Stegostoma tigrinum: one gene and its partners. The protein of the gene in region 2 interacts with the protein of the main gene of each other region in a biochemical or structural test. Links are inferred from orthologs where the notes say so. Each region holds a gene or a part of one and is shown on either strand. Other genes may lie near its edges.

Region 1 (7,767 bases), on a different chromosome or scaffold from region 2:
GTGCAGTGGGGGGAGGGGACGAACTGGGCTGGTTTTGGCATGCGGTGGGGGAAGGGGAGATTTTGAAGCTGGTGAAGTCCACATTGATACCATTAGGCTGCAGGGTTCCCAAGCGGAATATGAGTTGCTGTTCCTGCAACTTTCGGGTGGTATCATTGTGGCACTGCAGGAGGCCCATGAATTTATTACCCTGAAATGAAGAAACTGTTTATCCAGTATGTCAACAAGGATTGACTCAGTTATACCATAGCCTACAGCCAAACTGATGTCATGATGTTAATATGGTCCAAATTTTATAAATTTTCAGTTCATTCATGGTTGATCATATTGTACCGGTTTGACTTTAAACAAGTAAGCTCTAGTGTTCACAGCATGACTAGCAAAAACAGAAAGAACTGGAAATCTGGCAGCATCTACGAAGAAAAGATCAGAGTTAACGTTTCGGATCCGGTGACCCTTCCTCAGATGTTTTCTTCACAGGTGCTGCCCAGGCCCTCTGAACTTTACCAGCAACTCCTGTTTTTGTTCCCGATTTACAGCATCCGCAGCCGTTTCGGGTTTGTTTTTCAGCCTGACTACCTAGTCACATCAAATTAACACGGTGTCGTGGTGCGACGTGGCTTTGAAACGCCGTTGGGAAGACGGTTTGACCGTTTTAAAAATCAAGGCGCTTTACAAAAAAAACAAAAAAAAATTGCTGGAGAAGCTCAGCAAAATCTGGGCGGCATCTGTGGAGAGAAAGCACGGTTAACGTTTCGGGTCCAGTGACCCATCTTCAGAACGGGTTTTATAAAATGCATTTTCTTTCCCACACGTTAAAAGCCTGAAAACTGTTTTCTGCACGACTGTTCAGGTATGTCTGAGAACAGCGAAGGTGTCTGTAACCACGCGCTCATCTTCAGATTGCTCCGTGTTAATACAAATAGAGTCTTTTTTTCCTCCTCGTTTTAATTCGCCATCCCTGCAGATACTTGTTAACGGAATGAGAAAGAAATGCTGGTCAGCCCCAGGCTAGCCGGTGTTCAGGTGGCAGAGAGGGAGGGCGAGTAAGAGGTAAAAAGGAGGAACAAAAGCATCATCGCCTGCAAGAGGACGTGAGAGACGTGACCTGAAAGAATGAGGCGGTGAAGGGTGCTCTGTCTCCCCGAGAATCATGAGTAATCCGGCGGCGGGGGCGGGGTGAATTACAGCAGGAAAGCGGAAATACACGGAGATAAACCGAGCCGGGGGATGACTTGGTCGGGCTTTTTGTCTCCTTACACAAGGACGCAGTTTCAATCTCCCTAGCAGCACCGAGCTGCAGTGTTTGTGTGACAGGGGCGGGGGGGAAGTCGAAGCTGAGAGCTTTCACATCAAACACAGCAAAATCAATGGGTGGCCCTGGGAAACACGCTCACGGCTCGTCTCCCACTGGCCAGTCTGCTAGGCAAAAGGGTTTATAAATTGGGATAGCAGTTGATCGGAGAGCTTTTTCAGTCCATTACACCTGTAAAGTGTTTTCAATCTATCGAGAGAAAAACAGACAGAAATGAACCCCTTCTATCTCCACGCTAAAACAATGCCATTGATTTTTTTTCCCGGGCCAGTCAGGACAATGGGCGCCTCGGAGGAACCACAAGGCAGTAATGTAATCAAATGATGCGAATACTTAAACAGGTCAAGCACTTTACAAATCAAATCGTTATTTTACTAAAAAGCGTTCTGTAGTGGAAGTAGTTTTACTTGAGGGTTCTAGTTGTCGCAGCTTTTTTCCGTGTACTCCATCGGATTAAGTCTTCGCAGAAAGACAGTGTAAGGTAGATACTTTTTTAAAGTTTGCGGAGAGACATTCTGCAGTTTAGCACAGGCGAGCATCGAGACCATGCTGTGCTGAGCTGGGTCAAATTCAATGAAACAAACGCTTCTCCGGCCATTTCCTCCTCGGGTCGTTCAGCACTGTGACCACCAGCCCATAGGGAGGGGAGGGGAGGGGAGGGGTGCCCACATTAACAAAGACGGACGATTTGTAAGGAGCAGCGAGTATTTCTACCGGCCTCTGGCTCCCGGAACCAACACCTCGCCATTTGCACGTTGTGTAAGATGCTCGTGGTCACCTTCCCGTGAGACGAACCCACTTACCAATTTAAAAAAAAACATCCACCTTGCATATTATCATCAAAATATAGTCACAATTTGGTCGCCGGAGCCCACATCTCACCTCAACGCCCTGCTAAATGCGATTTTTTTTTTGGTGGTGGGGTGAAGGGAAAAAAAATCGAGGATGTGGGCCATGGTATTTCATCTGTTAGACAATGCTGCTGTCAGTAACCTCCAAATTTAAGGTTTTAATAAAAGAGCGAGGATCCAGAATACATATCATCAATACATATACATATCTATGTAGCGCATCTCACCGGAGATGTACAGACCTGCTCACATGAAAGACGGATTTAAACGTGAATTTCGAATACTGAGTATAATTTAAGATATTGATGAGGCACCCTCCACAATATACCCCCCTTTGTGGCATTTGTCTTAGAAAAGGTAACACAGATGACCACAATGTATTCTCGAGTTATGGATTTATAGGCTGCAGGTCCTTACCTTGAGGTTTTAAATTGTTGCTCCCGACACGATGAGATCTGGCTGCCGATGATGCTCTCGCCACGCTCCGCTCTTATTCACACTGCTGCGTCAAGCCGTGTGCTCGCAGCTGGTTCCGCTGGGTCTTAGTGGCCGGACCGTTCATTTCCCATACCTCTCAATGGGATCTGCTCCCGGCCCCAATGATCGTCTCAACTATTCAGAACAAACGCTGTCCGTTCGTTCGAGCGATAAACAGAAGAGAAATTCTTCAGAAAGCGACAGAGAGAGAGAGAGAGAGAGACACGCACACACAGAGACAAAAGGCCCATACTTCCGCCACTTGTCACATATAATGCACTCATACAATCATGAGTTTGGAGCAAGTCAGACAACTTTCTGGCGGAACTTGTTTACCCCTCCCTTCCATATACATCTGAGGAAGATCAGAAATAAAATGAAAGCTTAATGGCGCTACTTCCGGACGTGGGGAGGCAATTGCCTAGTGGTATTTTCGCTGCAACAAAAACAAAGTTGCTGGAAAAGCTCAGCAGGTCTGGCAGCACCTGTGGAGGAGGAAACAGGGTTAACGTTTCGGGTCCGGTGATCCTTCCTCAAGATCTGGATTCGTATCCCGCCACGGCAGATGGTGGAATTTAAATTGAAGAAGGGAAACAAAATGGGTTGGAATCATTGAACTTTGAGTGCAGAAGGCTGTAATTTATGTAAATGAAAGACGAGCTGCTGGTCCTCCAGGTTTTGTTGAGCTTCACTGGAATTTTGCAAGAGACTGAGGACAGAGAGGTTAGAGTGGGAGCAAGATGAGGAATTAAAGTGACACGCTGTTGGAAGTTCAGTGTCACATGTTGGCACTGAATGGATTTGTTACTAACCTCCTTCTAACCTTTAACAATTCGGTCATTCTGCTAATGAGCATTTTCTCTCCCCAGTGAAATAGGAATGCACTGACAGAAATATATGGTGATTCCAAACTATATCATCTACAGCAATGTTACCTATTAGCACGCCAGGTAAAGTTCCTAGGGTTCGACTGAGCTAAGCCCTTGGATGCCAAAATTTATAGGAGGTAAAAATGACCCAGCTGTGCTATCTTCTACATAAATCTTCCAGATAATATCCACCACCCAGCTAACCCAGGTAGTAGCTGTCAATATCGTAACGATAATCAATGTTTACGCTTTCCAGCTTCCAGGCTACAGTTAGATAAAATATACCCTCTCACCCAGTGTTACTCAGTGAAGCAAGCCAGTGACTGATCTGCCAGAGCAAATTCCTTCAGAACATTAGCAATATTAGAGTCATAGAGAAATACAGTGTGGAATTGTTACAATATTTTAGAATTCTATTGTACAGCTGGCTTTACATGAATACAAGGAGCAAACAACTGTATGTACATAGCCAGCAGAGTCTATACTGTCAACATAATGGTGTAAATGGATAGGAAGAAGTATTACTCAATGTCCAACTGGTCTTTCATTATCCAAACAAATTTATGTTGGTCAATGCTACCCAGTAATTTACATGATGCACTCGTCTTATTTTACCAATCATCTGTGGCAATTTTATTTGAGGGGAATGTTAGAGTGAATCCCCAAAGACCCTGGACAATAACAAGAAAAGAAAGTGCTGGAGAAACTCAACACACCTGTTCAGAGAAAAACAGGTTTGTTTGACTCCAGCATGGCTGTCAGATCTGCTGCGTTCCTCCGGCACTTGCCATTTTTATTTCAGAACTCCAGCATTCACAGCATTTTGCTTTTACTTGAGTGTTTAACTCACTGCCATTTCACCTTGTGTGCTCATTTTTAAAAAGCTCTGCCATTGACTCTGGTAGGATTTCTGTTATAATCTTTCAGCTTGTTCACCTTCATTACTTTCTACTTTCCTTCTAATGTTTGATAAAGTGTCAAAAGTTACTTTCACAGCTACATCCCCTTCTTCAGTAACTCTCTGGCTTCACCATACCCCACACAGTTTCCAGTTGAAGTTCCATCCTTTATGTTTCAAACCCACCCAAGATTACAGCAATCTCTGATACATGCAACATTCCTAAAACAACTGTTTCTGCCACATCTTCAGATCCACATTCAATGCTATGCACCACCACATGCACACTCTCAGCTTCTCTCTTCATCAGCACCACCTCCCAATATCTCAAAGCTGTCCCGGTGTCCAAATCCATTTTGTTCTTTGTCTCATTCAATGCTTAAACAAAGAAAAATTCTCTTCTTTTCAGGAGTTAAAGAATGCAAGTTCCAGAAATTCCCAGGTACTGATGCCCCTCTGGAGTTCTAATTACCTCCCTTCCTCTCCAACTCCATCCCTTCTTGCAATCCCCTGTCTTGTCATTTAATTGCTACACTCCTTGACCTACCCCTGGTTGATGCTGAATAATCTGTGCTCAGCAAAGGTCATAATTTTACACTGCCACCTGAAAAAAATTCAGGCATGACATGTAACTGAATTCTTCTGTAATCTGCCTTCATGCCACTTCTTCTAATCCAGCCCCACAGATCCTTTTGTCAGTCTTCAGAATGGCTTCTCCACCTCGATCAGTCCTTCTGACCTTTTACCTGAACTTGATCTCATCATTGAGAACTGGAGTTCCAAAGGAAAATTATGCTGGACTTGAAATACTAACTCTTGTTTTTACCTCTTCCCTTGCTTGATATGTCCAGTACTTTCATGGATGCCAACTAACCAACAGTGCTGTTAGTTCTCTCCTTGATTCATAGCATGGGGCTTATGTTCCCTGCCTTAAAGCATTTCACTCCTTGAATTCTCCAGCATCATTTTACTGAGTAAACACTTTGATGCCCACTTCATATTTCAAATGTTCAGCTGTCTCCTAATTCCGGTTAATTAGGTTGACCTAATTGTTTAGGGGATTAGTGTTTCTCCATTTTCATTGAGTAGGAAACTTGCGCAGTTGGCAGCAGACAAGCTTCAGTGACTTCTTCCAAAAATATTTGTCATACACAGTCAATTCAGGAATGGCACAAGAATAACAATTTCTATAATTTAATATCTGTTGCCCATAAATATTCAAAGAGAGCCACTGGTTATTGGAATGTGGAGTTGAAATCATAATCGCATTAGCCATGATCTTACTAAACAGCAGAAAAGGCTTGAGGGGCCTTGTGGCCCAATTCTGCAGCTAATTTATATGTTTGTATTCCTGCACATCCACCATGGATGAAAAGCATGATTTACAGCAAGGCTGTTCCAAAACCTTAGTCTTCTTAGTTTAAAGCCATGGTTTCATATTTGTAGGAATTTCAGAAAGTGAAACTGTAGATTTCAGAAAGCTTTTTTGGCAATTACATTTTCTGGTTTACTCCCAACTTTTGTATTTTTCATATACAAGATATATAGCCTACATGGTTGATGGGGGATATCGGCAGTGGTCTGTGAGTTCATTATGTTTCTCATGATCAGACGTCAGAATTGTGTCTGCTTGTACTTGTTAATCTACTGACACATTCAATAGATTTGACATTTTCCATCAGCCTGTGAAATACAGTGCAATTGTGGAAAGTAGATTCATGAAAATTAGTTACTGTTATGAACAGAACTGATGGTTTTTGAAACAAATAGTTTGAATATTGAGAATTTGATTCTGGTTTTACTTTAAGACAGGGAGTTATATAAAATTACAAACTAGATTTTTAGGGTAATGAGACCAGAGGTTGGAAATCATGAAATAATAGAACTTTTATAAAACAGAATCAGGCCATTCAGCTCATCATGTCTGTGCTATTCTCAGCACAGGCAATGCTGTTAGTGCCACTCCCTTGCCGTCTCCTGTAGTACAGACAGATTTTTTTTTGTCTTAAAATGTCTATCAAACTCTTCTTTCCAGCAGTAATTGAATATGCCTTCACCAAACTTTCAAGACAGTGTTTCAGATCCTAACCATTGGCTGATTTAAAAGATTTGACCTCCTGTTATTGTTTGCCATTCACCTTAAAAGTGTTTTCTGATTCTCAATTGATACTTTTTTTTTCATTCGTGGGCCATGGGCATTGTTGGCTCACCAGCATTTATTGCCTGTCCTGAACTGTCCTTGAGAAAATGGTGATGAGTTGCCTTCTTGAAACACTGCAGTCTATATGCTAAAGGTTGAGGCTTTGTAGCAATTGATTTAACTGAGTAGCTTGCTAGACCATTTCAGAAGGCAGTTGAAAATCAACCACATTGCAGTGGGTCAGGAGTCACATATAGGTAAGACCAGGTGAGGATGGTAGATTTCCTTGCCTGAAGGATATGAGTGACCCAGATGTGTTTTTCTGGTCGATCAGCAATAGGTTCATGGTTGTCATTAGATTCTTAATTCCAGATTATATTTTATTGAACTCAACTTCCACCATTTGCTGTGATGGGATTTGAACCTGGGTCCCCAGAACATAAGCTTCTGGATTAATACTCTTGCAATAATATGACTAGGCTATTATCTCCCCATGTTTCTCCCTATGGGAAGAGTTTCTCCTTATCTGCTGTGTCAAGGCCTGTCATGATTTTAACACATTTATCAAATCTTCTTTCAAACTGCCCATCTCTGGTGAACAATGCCAGCTTCTCTAATCCATCCACTTAATTGAAGTCCTTTATCCCTACAATCATTCCTTAAATCTTTTCTGCACCTTCTCTGAAGCCTTCATATTCTTCCTGTCATTTGACAATCAGGAATTTAACCAAATACTCCAGCTGTAACAATTATCGGGTATTCTCCCTACTGGTCATTAAAAAAATGGTTTGCCCATGTTGCCTTTGCCAGACTTAAGTTCTTGACAGAACGCATCTACCTTGAATCTGTGTGATTTAAGACAAGAAATTTACAAATGTCTTAATCCAGCAGCTGCTAGAGAAATATCATGAACAATGGAAAACTGAATATGTGGCCTTCGCTGACGTCAACAAGACATCCGGCCAGTTGAGCAGAGCTGCCCACAGAAGCTGTTCGATGTGATCTCCTTTTTCCATGGCATGATGGGTAAGGTCAACTTTGAAAGGTCAACATCAGAACTCCTTGAGATCTGCAGTCGGGTCACAAGACATTCTGTTTTGGCATTGACAGTCTTTGGCGTATTCTTCTCCTGTGCCAGTCATATGCTTTGAGATTATCTACACACGGTGTCTACTTCAATATCAGAAATTATAAACCTATTCAGCCTTGATTACTTG
Region 2 (8,232 bases):
TTAACTACACTATGAAAGATGCATCCAATGTCACTGAGGTGTTTGGAGTGTTTCCAGCCCTAATATAATCAGTATCTCAGCAAGAGAGTAGACAGGAATTTTGGAAAGGGAGAAAGCAAACAAACGTACAAAAAGATTAAGAAAAAAAGTGATGCACAACGTGTGCGGACATTAGTTCCAACTTGAGCAGCTGACGATAGTGGTTTAAGGTATTTAATGGGGAGGTATTAAGGGGAACAACAGAAAGTACAGATGTTTTAGACATCAGTTATATGGAATATTTCTTATTTTACGAAAAGCCCAATGTGTTTGCCATTTAGACAAAACAAAAATCATTGAAAAAAACGCTAGCTGCACAACTTCTCAAAAATTCACTACTGCTTTGCTGCTGGCAAGCAGATCAGTAGGTTTCCCGATGGATCTAATCCGTACGCTAGAGGATCCTACTATCCAGACAGGCAGTTTATGTGTGAACAACTTAAACTATCATTATACTTCAATCATTTGCCTCTCTTTGTAGTTAAATTTGTACTTGGATGGGGATCGCATATACACAGTACATTTGAAACCTCTGATAACCAATAAGACCTACTACATACCAGTATCATCTTGTTGACAATGACAATTCAATACTACAACACAACCTTAGTTTGTCAGAGCTATTTGCATTAGTGGTATGCTACTGAACACTTGAAAGATTAACCTTTGACGGTCACTGGACCTTTTACATTTATTTTGTTAATAGAATTATAACAGTGAAAAGGTGCCTCATATCACTGAAATCAGTACTAATAACCATTAAGTAGTGTTGGCTTGACCAATAAATATGTTTGCCAGCATGCTCACATCCCACATGAATAAAATATCAATTATTTTAATTATGTATTTTAAAGTTCAACGCAAATTAGGTTACAGCTGATGTCGAGGGATCATTTTCTTTACAATATTATCTTTACTTCCTCCCCATCAAAACGATTTTAATCAACTGCACTATTCTCTAACAAGAGTGTGGACTTCTGATTAAAATGTCAATAAGTTTTGAAATCAGAAAAGGATTTCCCACTCTGCAAAATCTAAATTGACACCCAGAATTTTAACGCAACTCCCACTATCCTTATTTCCACTTAAAAATCCGTAGTTATCAATACGGTTTTCCTTAAAATGTCATATCGTACCGATTCGGTATCTACTTTCCTCAGTACCACCTCCACACGTGTCCAACTCAGATGCCGCACACAGCCGAAACTGTTTACATTCATAAATCACGCCCCTTCCTCCATAAGGCTTCCTGTTCACCGCCCAACTGCTCCCGAATCGCATCATGTACACTGACATCAAGTTGTAATCTGATCGTTCAACACTATAAGCAGAGTTCATTAGAAATGCTGCACTGGCGCTGGCATTCATTTCAGTGTTGCGGGGTTTAAAATGACGCGACAACGTCTGTCAAATATTCGCAATTACATTGTTCGACTATTCCCGCTTTCTCGCCTCTCCGTGATTCACAGAATCGCAAGGCAACAGGTTGTCAGCTTAAGGAGAAAGAATGATTTCGTAATCGGATATAGAAAAGCCAAGGCATTCCCGCGTTGTTAAAACGTCAAACCTGTTTCTCTGTCCAGAATATTTAAGTCCTTATGTTCAGAACAACCCATTGGTATTTTAACAGCTCTCATCGGCCGACGCTGCTGTTAACCTCAAAAAGTAAGAAGACGACTAGATATCGAGCGGTCTATGTACGTACCTATTAATGCTTGAAAGAGATTACTGCGGAATATATTGATAACTCGCTCGATGGAGGCACGGAGCTGACGGTCTTCAGTCTTGCCGAGCTTGGCACGGTAATTCTCCAGGAGCTTCAGAGCTCGCTGAGCATCTGAGCAGAGACAAGGGGCAAAAATAATCACACATTTAACGATCATTACTGGACCGATCCCGTAACAACTCCTGGAGCTACTACATCTTTGCCCAGCTTTTAGCACTTGATAGAAAATGACAAAGATATCCTTCGTTAAAATCGGTTCGTCTTAAAGTTCGTGGCAATGGTGCTAAATACAAAGTGTTAGCGGACTTTAAAAACTTTTATTAAAATGTTTCTGCAAAATTTAATATGCTGAAACTCACCCTGCTTTCGAACCGGCATCCTCCTGTTTCAGATTTCCTTCACAGGTTAAAGCTCCCAGTTGGTAATTCCCTCAATTCCAAGTTGTCCTCCGGAGTCTAAGAGTCTCCGGAGACAGGATCTTTTCTTCTGCGCTTTCAAACGGTCCCGATAAACTGCCAGAAACACCGGATCCCAACTTTTCGCTCCGACTCAAGGAAATGTGTAAATATTTAGTGCAATCAGTTTCACTGACAATCAATTTTTTTTTCCTTTCAAAACAGGCTTAGGCTTGTTTGAGAGACACTTTTGGTTTCTTTCCGATATCAGTCAATCCTTCCTTCCTGAAGTAGACTGACCGGTTTGTAAAGTGTTGGCCTCAGGAGGACCACATCCTGACTCTCTCCTCTTGCCCAGTCTGGAATACCGATTCGCTGATCAGAACGTTTCTGCTGGTTATCTTGCCCGGTCACTGCTCGCTTGTCCTACTTGTTCAAGGTGACTGCAGGAGACCAACTGGGGAGAGTGGATCCTCTCCGCTGAGCTTGAGAGTGACTGTCCTGGTCTCTGCCCCTAACACTCAGGGTCGTCCAGTGGATCCCTTTGCTGGGTGTCGGTTGTTTTGATTCTTGGAAAAGAGAGTTGGAGGGGCGGGGGGTTGTGTCCTCTCTCCTCGGTATGGGATGCAGCAAGCGGCGGCCTTGCCCCACACCCCGCCAGCCCGAAAGAGGGGCCGACTCTCTGGCTGCCTCCCCGTCAGGCGAGTTACAGGCTCCGGGGCTTGCGCTCTCTTGCCTCCCCGTGGAGTTGTAGTCCTTCACCGCCGCCAGTGACCCACCGCCTCCTCCTCCTTTCCCCGCCCCGAGAGGTGGGGCCCCCGGACCGGCACCGGCACACACTCTCCCACTCCTCTTCTTCCGGATTCCACCAAAAACAAACTTTCGCTGCCGCCGCTTCCCTCCCACCCGGCGAACAACTGCTACTACTCCTCTTCCCAGTCACTGCCAGAAAAATCCCAAACTTTCCCCCAAAATGGCGACCGGGACGGCGAATCTCCACCACCTGACCGGCCGCCCGCCAATCAGGAGGGAGCAGGCCGACCGGGGGGCGGGGCCCAGGTTTAAGGAAGGCTGCGGTGATGCTGCAGAGCAGCTCACCCAAGATTTGAAACTCCAGTGCTGTTCCTCCCCAACACCCTGCCCCAGAACTCACTCACCGTCCCTCCCCAACACCCTGCCCCGTAACTCACTCACCGTCCCTCCCCAACACCCTGCCCCGTAACTCACTCACCGTCCCTCCCCAACACCCTGCCCCAGAACTCACTCACCGTCCCTCCCCAACACCCTGCCCCAGAACTCACTCACCGTCCCTCCCCAACACCCTGCCCCGTAACTCACTCACCGTCCCTCCCCAACACCCTGCCCCGTAACTCACTCACCGTCCCTCCCCAACACCCTGCCCCGTAACTCACTCACCGTCCCTCCCCAACACCCTGTCCCGTAACTCACTCACCGTCCCTCGCCAACATCCTGCCCCGTAACTCACTCACTGTCCCTCCCCAACACCCTGCCCCGTAACTCACTCACCGTCCCTCCCCAACACCCTGTCCCATAACTCACTCACCGTCCCTCCCCAACACCCTGCCCCAGAACTCACTCACCGTCCCTCCCCAAAACCCTGCCCCATAACTCACTCACCGTCCCTCCCCAACACCCTGCCCCGTAACTCACTCACCGTCCCTCCCCAACACCCTGCCCCGTAACTCACTCACCGTCCCTCCCCAACACCCTGCCCCAGAACTCACTCACCGTCCCTCCCCAACACCCTGCCCCAGAACTCACTCACCGTCCCTCCCCAAAACCCTGCCCCATAACTCACTCACCGTCCCTCCCCAACACCCTGCCACAGAACTCACTCACCATCCCTCCCCAACACCCTGCCCTGTAACTCACTCGCCGTCCCTCCCCAACATCATGCCCCGTAACTCACTCACCGTCTCTTTCCAACACCCTGCCCCATAACTCAGTCACCGTCCCTCCCCGGCGCCCTGCCCCATAACTCACTCACTGTCCCTCCCCGGCGCCCTGCCCCAAAACCCACTCGCCGTCCTCTCCAACACCCTGCCTCAAAATTCACTCGTTGTCCCTCCCCAAAACCCTGCCCCAAAACTCACTCACCGTCCCTCCCCAACACCCTGACCCATAACTCACTCAGCGTCCCTCCCCAAAACCCTGCCCCAAAACTCACTCACCGTCCCTCCCCAACACACTGCCCCAGAACTCACTCACCATCCTTCCCCAACACCCTGCCCCGTAACTCACTCACCATCCCTCCCCAACACCCTGCCCCGTAACTCACTCACCGTCCCTCCCCAACACCCTGCCCCGTAACTCACCCACCGTCCCTCCCCAACACCCTGCCCCGTAACTCACTCACCGTCCCACCCCAACACCCTGCCCCGTAACTCACTCACCGTCCCTCCCCAACACCCTGCCCCGTAACTCACTCACCGCCCCTCCCCAACACCCTGCCCCGTAACTCACTCACCGCCCCTCCCCAACACCCTGCACCGTAACTCACTCACCGTCCCTCCCCAACACCCTGTCCCGTAACTCACTCAGCGTCCCTCCCCAACACCCTGCCCCAGAACTCACTCACCGTCCCTCCCCAACACCCTGCCCCGTAACTCACTCACCGTCCCTCCCCAACACCCTGCCCCGTAACTCACTCACCGTCCCTCCCCAACACCCTGTCCCGTAACTCACTCACCGTCCCTCCCCAACACCCTGCCCCGTAACTCACTCACCGTCCCTCCCCAACACCCTGCCCCGTAACTCACTCACCGTCCCTCCCCAACACCCTGCCCCGTAACTCACTCACCGTCCCTCCCCAACACCCTGCCCCGTAACTCACTCACCGTCCCTCCCCAACACCCTGCCCCGTAACTCACTCACCGTCCCTCCCCAACACCCTGTCCCGTAACTCACTCACCGTCTCTTCCCAACACCCTGCCCCGTAACTCACTCACCGTCCCTCCCCAACACCCTGTCCCGTAACTCACTCACCGTCCCTCGCCAATATCCTGCCCCGTAACTCACTCACTGTCCCTCCCCAACACCCTGCCCCGTAACTCACTCACCGTCCCTCCCCAACACCCTGCCCCGTAACTCACTCACCGTCCCTCCCCAACACCCTGTCCCATAACTCACTCACCGTCCCTCCCCAATATCCTGCCCCAGAACTCACTCACCGTCCCTCCCCAACACCCTGCCCCAGAACTCACTCACCGTCCCTCCCCAACACCCTGCCCCAGAACTCACTCACCGTCCCTCCCCAAAACCCTGCCCCATAACTCACTCACCGTCCCTCCCCAACACCCTGCCACAGAACTCACTCACCATCCCTCCCCAACACCCTGCCCTGTAACTCACTCGCCGTCCCTCCCCAACATCATGCCCCGTAACTCACTCACCGTCTCTTTCCAACACCCTGCCCCATAACTCAGTCACCGTCCCTCCCCGGCGCCCTGCCCCATAACTCACTCACTGTCCCTCCCCGGCGCCCTGCCCCAAAACCCACTCGCCGTCCTCTCCAACACCCTGCCTCAAAATTCACTCGTTGTCCCTCCCCAAAACCCTGCCCCAAAACTCACTCACCGTCCCTCCCCAACACCCTGACCCATAACTCACTCAGCGTCCCTCCCCAAAACCCTGCCCCAAAACTCACTCACCGTCCCTCCCCAACACACTGCCCCAGAACTCACTCACCATCCTTCCCCAACACCCTGCCCCGTAACTCACTCACCGTCCCTCCCCAACACCCTGCCCTGTAACTCACTCACCGTCCCTCCCCAACACCCTGCCCTGTAACTCACTCACCGTCTCTTCCCAACACCCTGCCCCATAACTCACTCACTGTCCCTCCCCGGCGCCCTGCCCCAAACCCGCTCGCCATCACTCCCTGGCACCCTGACACAAAACCAGCTCGCCGTCCCTCCCCGGCACCCTGCCCCAAAACCCACTCGCCGTCCTCTCCAACACCCTGCCTCAAAACTCACTCGTTGTCCCTCCCCAACACCCTGCCCCAAAACCGACTCGCCGTCCCTCCCCGGCACCCTGCCCCAAAACCCGCTCACCGTCCCTCCCCGGCGCCCTGCCCCAAAACCCGCTCGCCGTCCCTCCCCGACGCCCTGCCCCAAAACCCACTTGCCGTCCTTCCCCGGCGCCCTGCCCCAAAACCCACTCGCCGTCCTTCCCTGGCACCCTGCCCCAAAACCGACTCGCCGTCCCTCCCCGGCGCCCTGCCGCAAAACCCACTCGCCGTCCTTCCCTGGCGCCCTGCCCCAAAACCCGCTCGCCATCCCTCCCCGGCACCCTGCCCCAAAACCCGCTCGCCATCCCTCCCCGGCACCCTGCCCCAAAACCGACTCGCCGTCCCTCCCCGGCGCCCTGCCGCAAAACCCACTCACCGTCCTTCCCTGGCGCCCTGCCCCAAAACCCGCTCGCCATCCCTCCCCGGCACCCTGCCCCAAAACCCGCTCACCGTCTTGCCCCAGCGCCCTGCCCCAAAACCCACTCGCCGTCCCTCCCCAGCGCCCTGCCCCAAAACCCACTCGCCGTCCCTCCCCGGCGCCCTGCCCCAAAATCCACTCGCCGTCCCTCCCCAGCGCCCTGCCCCAAAACCCACTCGCCGTCCTTCCCCGGCGCCCTGCCCCAAAACCCACTCGCCGTCCCTCCCCGGCGCCCTGCCCCAAAACCGACTCACCGTCCCTCCCCGGCGCCCTGCCCCAAAATCCACTCGCCGTCCCTCCCCAGCGCCCTGCCCCAAAACCCACTCGCCGTCCCTCCCCGGCGCCCTGCCCCAAAACCCACTCGCCGTCCCTCCCCGGCGCCCTGCCCCAAAACCCACTCGCCGTCCCTCCCCAGCGCCCTGCCCCAAAACCCACTCGCCGTCCCTCCCCGGCGCCCTGCCTCAAAACCGACTCGCTGTCGCTCCCCAGCGCCCTGCCCCAAAACCCACTCGCCGTCCCTCCCCGGCGCCCTGCCTCAAAACTCACTCGTTGTCCCTCCCCGGCACCCTGCCCCAAAACCCGCTCACCGTCCCTTCCCGGCGCCCTGCCCCAAATCCCGCTCGCCGTCCCTCCCCGGCGCACTGCCCGTAAACCCGCTCACCGTCCCTTCCCCGCGCCCTGCCCCAAATCCCGCTCGCCGTCCCTCCCCGGCGCACTGCCCCAAATCCCGCTCGCCGTCCCTCCCCGGCGCACTGCCCGAAAACCCGCTCGCCGTCACTCCCCGGCACCCTGCCCCAAAACCCACTCGCCATCCTCTCCAACACCCTGCCTCAAAACTCACTCGTTGTCCCTCCCCAACACCCTGCCCCAAAACTCACTCACTGTCCCACCCTCTCACCCTGTCTGAAAACTCACTCACTGGCCCTTTCCAACACCCTCCCTCACACAGCCTGCCTCAAAACTCAATCACTGTCCCTTTCTTATTCACTGGTTCCCACTCAATTTCTTTCCCTTCCTCCTAATCTGGTACAGTACCATCCTCAGATTTTGGCTCCACATCAATCATTATTGTTCACTGCCTCCAAATCAATCACTATTCATTCTTCCTTCCAGCTCAATCAGCATCCATCCCTGCTTCTGCCTGAGTCACTGCCCCTATATGCTTACGAATGAATCATGATTTTCAGGACGGCATAATTAATGGAATGCCACACGGATCACTGCTGGAGTCTTGATTTTTTAACACTATATATAAATAACTTGGCTGACATAAGTGAATCTGTTAGGACCAAGTTTGTAAGTTACACAACAAATAAGCTAGTAGTGAGGATGATACAATCAATCAGTTGGGGAATATAAACAGGTTAAGTGGCAAAACGTAACAAATGGGAGATGTGAGGAAATGTGAGGTTATACACTTTAGAATGGAGAGAAGAGCTGAATATTATTTAAATGGGGAATGACAGCAAAATATTGCAGATAGATTTGGTGATTCTTGTACAGGAAACACAAAAAGTTCGCATTAAATTTCATTGGGTAACAGGGAAGTCAAATGGAATGTTGGCCTTTGTTTCAAAGTGAATGGCATATAAAGGTAAGGAAGTTTTCTAAAACTATACAT
Region 3 (8,345 bases), on a different chromosome or scaffold from region 2:
CTAAGAAGGCTTAGTGAATTTCTGCAGTGCATCTTGTAGATAGTACACACTGCTACAGCTCACGTGGCACAGGGACGGCCACAATGCCATTCGGGAGGGAGCTGCAAGATTTTGACCGACTGAAATGGTGATATAGCTACTGATCTCCAGTGGTGGGTGCTTGTGGGTACAGTGCCAATCAAGCAGGCTGCTTTGTCCTGCATGGTGTCAAGCTTCTTGAGTGTAGTTGGAGCTGCACCCATCCAGGCAAGTGGGGAGTATTCCATCACACTCCTGACTTGTGCCTATCGCAGGATATGCTTTGGGGAGTTAGGAAGCAAGTTACTCGCTTCAGGATTCCTAGTCTATGACCTGCTCTTACAGCCACTGTGTTTCTGTGCTGAGTCCAGTTCAGTTTCTGTTCAATGGATGTTCAATCCCCAGGGTGCTGATAGTAAGGGATTCAGCTTAGCCCTTTATCTCACTTGCTGCTTATATTTTTTGGCATGCAATTTGTTCTGTGCTGTAGCTTCCCCAGGTGACATCTCATTTTTAGATATGCCTGTCCTCCTGCACTCTTCATTGAGTAAAGACTTGACAATAGGAACTAGGAGCAGTGGTAGGCCATTCAGCCCCTCAAGCCTGCTTCACTGTTTGATACGATAGTGGCCGATCTCATCTTGGCCTCAGTTCCACTTTTCTGCTCCCTCTCCATAACCCTGCAACCCCGTACTAATTAAAAATCTGTCCATCTCTTCCTTAAATTTATTCAGTGTCCTGTGAATAATAGTTTTATGAAGCCAGATTGAACAGTTTAGGTCTATATTCTCTGGAGTTTAGAAGAATGTGCGGAGATATGTTGAGGTGTCCTGATATCTAATGCACTTGGAGGTAGTAAATTCCAAAGTCATGGCACTTTGACAGAAGAGATAATGGGAACTGCAGATGCTGGAGAATCCGAGATAACAAAGTGTGAAGCTGGATGAACACAGCAGGCCAAGCAGCATCTCAGGAGCACAAAAGCTGACGTTTTGGGCCTAGACCTTCACTTTGACAGAAGCAGTTTCTTTCTACATGTTTCTGCTACCCCTCAGCCTAAAACTGTGACCCCTCATTCTAGATGGGCCCATATAACGCATCCTTTCCAAATCTACTTTCTCAATCCTTTTTAACATCTTATATACCTCAATATGATCTCCACACATTCGTCTAAACTGCAGACAGTATAGGCCTAAACTGTTCAATCTCTCTTCATAAAACATGCCTTTCATCTCTGGAACTGATCCAGAGAACCTTCTGAGGATCGCTGCTGAATTTCTGTAGATACAGCAGACTACTACTACTGAGCATTGACGGTGGAGCGAGTGGTGGCCTGGCTTGATGATAATGTTGGGAATGGGAAGTCTGGTGGACCAAGGGGTCGTTGATTGTGCTTAAGTAAAATTCTGCCGCTGCTGATGGCCTATAGCACACCCGATGCCCAGTCTTGAATTCCTAGATCTGTTTGCAATCTATCCCCTTCTGCATGACAGCAGTGCCACACAGCATGATGTAGGGTGTCTGCAATACATGATCATGACTTCAGCTACACAAGACAGTTTCTGTTTGACTTCAAGACGACCAGCCAGGCTGCATGTAACAGCTTTGTTTTTTCCTATTTTTACATTGGATCTGGATGAAGTTCGTAACTGCTGTGTCTCCTTGTATGATCACTGCTGAAATCAGTCATCTTCAGCCCATAATTAGTTGTATTTACAAGTCTGCCAATGAGATAAGGAATAAATAACCAGCATAAATAACCATAAACTATTTGCACTGGTTGGGCATTCTAAGACTACACAGTATAGTTTGAGAATTAAGGCTGGATTATTCAAGTGAGAATGTTTAGAAGCACTTTGACACACAAAAGGCATAACTCTCTCTTACGCAAAGGACAATGGATCAGTTGTCAGATTTAAAATCTGAGATAGATAATGTTTTTCTTAAGCAATGGGTATTGAGGAATATGGGACAAAGGCAGGTACGTGGAGTCAGGTTACAGATCAGCAGTGGTCTCACTGAATGGTGGAAAAGGTCCGAGGGGCTGAATGCCCTGCTCCAGTTCCTAATTTACGTGAAGACCGGCTCAAAGCTGCAGGCCGTTTTTTTTGGTGGGTACCTTGATAGGAAAAATAGTTTACATTTAAGTAAAACTGTCCCTCATTGCGGGACCACGACTTCACATAACTTCACCAATTTCTTTCAGCAGCTTCATGAATGGGATGATTTCTACCACATCACCGGCCTGTTCAGAAAATAATTAGACCCAGGAAGGAAAAACATTTGTAATAAGTTGGATTAGCGCAACATTCAAAATGCAATTAATGCAGTTTTCTGGTTAACGTGAAAACATTCATATACAAGTGTTCACATTCCAAAACCAGGAATTGACGACACGGCAATTAGTTCAAAAGACACTGGCCCAAAATGCACCTTCCGACGAGCCTGCAGCCTGAGCTCTCTACACTTTTCCCTGGAATTCACGGCCTCTTGTGTCCCTGTTCCCAACAGCGCAGCCCATCCCAGTGCAAACCCAACCGGGACTCCATGCACCGTGCCCGGGATCCCAATGCAAACCCAGCCGGGACTCCATGCACCGTGCCGGGGCTCCCAACACAAACAGAGCCCGGGATCCGTGCACCGTGGTTGGGATCCCAACACAAACAGAGCCCGGGATCCATGCACCGTGGATGGGATCCCAATACGAACAGAGCCCGGGATCCGTGCACCGTGGTTGGGATCCCAAAACAAACAGAGCCCGGGATCCGTGCACCGTGGTTGGGATCCCAAAACAAACAGAGCCCGGGATCCGTGCACCGTGGTTGGGATCCCAACACAAACAGAGCCCGGGATCCATGCACCGTGGTTGGGATCCCAATACGAACAGAGCCCGGGCTCTATACTCCGCGCCCGGGATCCCATTGCAGAGCCACCGGGCCTCCACGCACCGTGGCTGGGATCCCAATACAAACTGAGCCCGGGGTCCATTCACTGTACCCGGGATCCCATTGCAGATCCAACGCAGGCTCCATGCACCGTGCCCGGGGATCCCGATGCAAACAGAGCCGGGGAAAGTCGTGCTCCACAGGCGCCTGGGCGGCTCCCTCTACCCGCTGGCCCCAGTCCCAGGCCTGGACCCGCTACCTTTCCGGTGAATCCAAGCTCGCTTGCCCGGAGCCAGTGGCCAAGCGCGGTGGCCTCTTTGTGGCCAGGCTCTCGGAAGTGCCCAGCCTGTCCATGGCGGCCGCCTTTTGTTAGAGGCTCGGCCTCGGAAATCCTCTCAGTAACAGCTTCACTCCGGCGCTTCCTCTTCCTGTAGCTGCGCAGAGTCAGAGTTCAGCTGCAGCCAGCGCCGCAAGGAGACCGACACCTGTCAATCACCGGGACATGCACCTGTCAACCACCGGGACATACACCTGTCAACCACCGGGACTTGCACCTGTCAACCACCGGGACATACACCTGTCAACCACCGGGACTTGCACCTGTCAATCACTGGGACTTGCACCTGTCAATCACCGAAACTGACACCTGTCAATCACCGGGACTTGCATCTGTCAATCACCAAAACTGACACCTGTCAATCACTGGGACATGCACCTGTCAATCACCAAAACTGACACCTGTCAATCACTGGGACATGCACCTGTCAATCACCAGGACTCACACCTCTTAATCACTGGGACATGCACCTGTCAATCACCGGGACTTGCACCTGTCAATCACCGAAACTGACACCTCTCAATCACTGGGACATGCATCTGTCAATCACCGAAACTGACACCTATCAATCCCGGGACATGCATCTGTCAATCACCGAAACTGACACCTGTCAATCACTGGGACATGCATCTGTCAATCACCAGGACTGACACCTGTCAATCACCGGGACCCACACCTGTCAATCATCGGGACCCACACCTGTCAATCATTGGGACTGACACCTGTCAATCATTGGGACCAACACCTGTCATTCACCTGGGACCAATAGCTGCCAATCAACAGGCTGACAGCTGTCACTCCCTGAGAATGACAACAGTCAATCAATAGAAGACAATGTTCCCGGCACCATCAGTGTTTTTAAATCTTTCTGATCGTTGAAAATCAGCAGGTTGCCAGCCGTCCATCACTAAGTGATAACCCTGCAGCTGGATGGCCATCTGTCAATCATTGGGAAGGCTGGAGATGCATTAGATTGATGCACAAGGTGCAAGAAAGCATTCTCAAAGTTCAATTTCACTGTCTGGGCCCAGCATTTAATACTCATCCCTAACTGTGTGTGAGGAGGCCATTAGAAGCTAATTTCATGAATTATTGCAGTACTAGTGATTTAGGGACAACCACAGTAGTGTTAGGAAGGGTGTTACTGGGCAGTAACTGAGTAACAGTAAAAGGACTACAATAAATGGTCATGTCCAAACGGTGTGTGACTTAAAGAGCGATTTTCAGGCGATGCTGCTCCTACATACCTGCAGCCCTTGTGCAGGTGGTGCATGTCCTGATTCAGATGATGCTTAGAAGCCTTAATAAGTTAATGCAGTACATTTTTGTAGCTGGTGCACTCTTTGCTATTGTGTGCAGTGATGAAGAGCACAAATAAATAAGCTACCAGTGCCTGACAGTGCCTTTTAAAAACGTAAAGAACTGTGGATGATGTAAATCAGGAATAAAAACAGAAGTTGCCGGAAAAGCTCAGCGAGTCTGGCAGCACATCTGTGAAAAAAAAGAGCTAACGTTTTGGGTCCGGTGAACTGCGGAAGGATCGCCAGACCCGAAATGTTAACTCTGATTTAAACTTATCCAACATTTCCAACTCATTTTCTTGATGGCTTATCCATTAATCAGTGAAGGTTTCAAATCAAGTTTGCTGTTCAATAGGAAAGCAAAGAACACAAACAAATCTGAGGAGGGGATGGACAAACAAAGCAGCTTCGTCCCAGTCCTGATTTTTCTATTGCTGGATACAAAGAGATCCTGGAGATTTTTTTGTACTCACATACCTGAACTAATTTCTTAAAATTACATTCGTAAAATATTGCATATTTTACATTTTTCTCCAGTTTAAAAATTATAAAGAAAATAGCCCAAAAAACTGAAATTGAATGAAACAATTAGCCACACAAGGACCACAAAATTTCACTTACTGAAATCAGATACTACTAGATCATGTCATAAACATCAAAGGGTAATAAAGACCTGCACGTTGACAAAATTAATGTCCAGATAATATTCTAACACAAAAACATGAAGCACACTAACATTCAGCTGTCTAGACAAATGCATCCGGTAATTTTCCTCTTTTCCCAAGCAGACATTTCCTGTAATTTTATATTTAATATAAGTCCAGTGACTGTTGTTTTTGTCAGCTCAGTTAACAGTCATTACAGTTGCACCCCAGGACATTGTTTTGCAGCATGCTCTAGCAAACGTTCCAATTGTACAACTGCATTTTCTCATCACATTGAAATGTCTGACAAATGCTGATAACTTACTACAGAGCACTAATTGTTTCAATTTCATGACTTACTGTGTTGTGTTTTAAAAAGACTTCAATTTCATTATGCATAAATATGCTACTATGATAAGAGTACATGGTAAGCCATTGTAAATAGTCGGTCTGTTACCATTAAACTCTGAACCACCGAGAAGAGTTGGAATTAGAAATAGTATGGCAGCAAGTAAAAAGCATGTTTATACAAACTGAGATGTTTCAAATTCTCCCATGGAATGTAACATTACTTGCATTGTTACCCATCCCTAATTGCCCTTGAGAGGTTGGTCGGCATTTTCTTGCTCAGCTGTAATGCATGTTGTTCAGGTACACCTACCCTGTTAGGAAGTCAAGTTTCAAGATTTTGAACCAGTGACAATGAAGAGGTGATCATATAATTCCCAAGTCAGGCTGGAGTGTGGCTTGCAGGGGAATTGCACATGCTGGTGCTTCTATATATCTGCTGTCTTTGTCCAATGCGGTAGAGCTCACAGATTTGGAAACTGATATCAAAGCAGTCTTGGGGTGGTGCTGCAGTGCATCTTACAATTGATACACGATGCTGCCACTATGTCGGTGATGGAGAGGGTGGATGTAGAATGTGGTGAATATGGTGCTAATCAAGTGGACGAGATGGCTTGGAATTTCTTCAGTGCTGTTGGAGCTGCCCCATTCAGTCAAATGGAAATTGTTCCATCACACTCCTGACTCATGTCTTATGTAGTGTACTGGCTTTGGAAGCAGCAAGTTATCTTGGATTTAAGGAGACTTCTAAATGCAAAATTAAAATTAAATGAATATTTACATTTCATTGTCAACATCATGGTGATTTGTGTATATTTGTTGTGGGTGATGCACAATTAGCAATACAAGCATTATATATTAAACAGCACAATTTGACTATTGAACACAATACTTTAGGGATTGCAAAGTGGTTCAGTCATTAGTATTGTTACCCCACAAAGCCAGAGATTTGTGTTCAATTCCACCCTCAGGCAAAATGGGTCAATTGGCTGAAAAACAGCAGATGGAGCTCAATCTGGTAAATGTGAGGTATTGCATTTTGATACAACAAACCATGGTAGGGCTTACACAGTTAATGGTAGGGTTTTGGGTAGTGTTGTAGAAGAGGGACCTGGCAGTCAGGTGCATAATTCTTCAAAGTTTGCATCACCTATAGACAGGGTGGTTAAAAAGGCGTTTGACACGCTTGCCTTCATTGTTCAGCCCTTTGAGAATAGAAGTGAGAAGTCATGTTAAGGTTGTACAGGACGCTCCTGGAGTACTGTATCTAGTTCTGGTTGACCAGTTACAGGCAGGATATTATTAAACTGGTGAAGGTTCAGAAGAGATTTACCAGGATGTTGCTAGGTATGGGAGGTTTCAGCTCCCCTCTCACGTTACAAAATGTGCTCCCCAGTCTTCAAATCCCACACCCTGGTGGAAAGACAATTACCATTAACCCTATCTTTACCCCTCATTATTTTATAAACTATTATCAGGTCACCTCTCAACCTCCTACATTCCAGTAAGGTTGCAGCCCATCTAGCCTTTCTTTATAACTCAAAGCACGGGTGAAGACAGCAGTAATTGTAGCATACAGTATTCATGCTTTATTATTAAGGGCATATAAGAACAGGAAGGGCATGTTGAACTTATACAGGATACTTGTTTGACCTCAGATGGAATATTATGTACAGTTGCAGGCACCAGGTTATAAGAAAAATGTGCATGCGTAGGGCAGAGTGCAAAGGTGATTCACCAGAATGGTTCCAGGAATAAGTAGTGATATCTTGAAAGGTGTCCATATTACAGAAGGGGAGGTGCTGAACATCTTAAAATGAAGTTAGATAAATCCCCGGGACTTGATCAGGTGTATCACAGAATGTTGTGGGAAGCTAGGGAAGTGATTGCTGGGCCCCTTGATGAGATATTTGTATTGTCAACAACCACACGTGAGGTATTGGACATCTGAAGGTTGGCTAATGTGGTGCCATTCTTTAAGAAAAGCTGTAAGGAAAAGCCAAGGAACTATAGACCAGTGAGCTTAATGTCAGTGGTGGGCAAGATGTTAGAGGGGATTCTGAGGGACAGTTACACACACATGGAAAGGCAAGGACTGATTAGGAAAAGTCAACATGGCTTTGTGTGTGGGAAATCATGTGTCACTAACGTGATTAAGTTTTTTGAAGAAGCATCAAAGAAAACTGATCAAGTCAGAATGGTGGCATTCTCTATATGGACTTTAGTAAGGCCTTTGACAAGGTTCCACATGGTAGACTGGTTAGCAAGATTAGATCGCATGGAATACAGGGGGAGCTAACCAATTGGATACAAAACTGGCTTTATACCCTCTTGATCTTACACAACGATATGCAAATAAAGAATTCATGAAAAATGTTTATCAAGAGTCAACCATGTTGCTGTCAAGCTGGAGTCAGATGTAGACCAGATCAGGCAGATGATGGCAGATTTTCACCCCAGCACTCATCAAAGGAACAATAACAGTAGGACATAGATTTAAATTGCTGTGCAAAGGAATCAAGAGTAATATGAGAAAACAAAACTTGTTCATACAGCAAATTGTTAGAGTGTGGAATGTATTACCAGGAAGTTTAGGGAAGGCAGGTTGATTGCCCAGAACTGAGGAAGGGTCACCAGACCCAAAATGTTAACTCTGATTTTATCTTCATAGTTGACTGCCAGACTGGCTAAGCTTCCAGCAAATTCTGTTTTTATTTCCGATTTACAGCATCCGCAGTTCTTTCAGTTTTGATTGCCCTCTGAAATGGGCCAGCAAATCACTGAGTTCAAGAGTAATTAGGGATGCCCAATA

Evidence for each region.
Region 1: the proteins of disks large homolog 1-like (region 2) and monocarboxylate transporter 4-like interact in a test that uses a peptide from one of them, tested with the Homo sapiens proteins (2 studies listed by IntAct, with this or other methods). The link is inferred for Stegostoma tigrinum from reciprocal best matches to the Homo sapiens genes DLG1 and SLC16A3.
Region 3: the proteins of disks large homolog 1-like (region 2) and mtmr1b interact in a test that uses a peptide from one of them, tested with the Homo sapiens proteins (2 studies listed by IntAct, with this or other methods). The link is inferred for Stegostoma tigrinum from reciprocal best matches to the Homo sapiens genes DLG1 and MTMR1.

What each region holds. Positions count from the first base shown.
Region 1 is NC_081375.1:27,674,925-27,682,691, reverse strand, and holds the start of monocarboxylate transporter 4-like, read right to left. Parts: upstream 3,340-7,767; 5' UTR 2,584-3,339; intron 1-2,583. UniProt on the Homo sapiens protein: Proton-dependent transporter of monocarboxylates such as L-lactate and pyruvate. Plays a predominant role in L-lactate efflux from highly glycolytic cells.
Region 2 is NC_081367.1:52,820,340-52,828,571, forward strand, and holds the start of disks large homolog 1-like, read right to left. Parts: upstream 3,151-8,232; 5' UTR 2,144-3,150; coding exon 2,125-2,143; intron 1,877-2,124; coding exon 1,745-1,876; intron 1-1,744. UniProt on the Homo sapiens protein: Essential multidomain scaffolding protein required for normal development. Recruits channels, receptors and signaling molecules to discrete plasma membrane domains in polarized cells.
Region 3 is NC_081368.1:14,661,789-14,670,133, forward strand, and holds the start of mtmr1b (myotubularin-related protein 1b), read right to left. Parts: upstream 3,340-8,345; 5' UTR 3,258-3,339; coding exon 3,163-3,257; intron 3,147-3,162; exon of another isoform or gene 3,051-3,146; coding exon of another isoform or gene 3,016-3,050; exon of another isoform or gene 2,967-3,015; intron 1-2,966. UniProt on the Homo sapiens protein: Lipid phosphatase that specifically dephosphorylates the D-3 position of phosphatidylinositol 3-phosphate, generating phosphatidylinositol. Could also dephosphorylate phosphatidylinositol 3,5-bisphosphate to produce phosphatidylinositol 5-phosphate.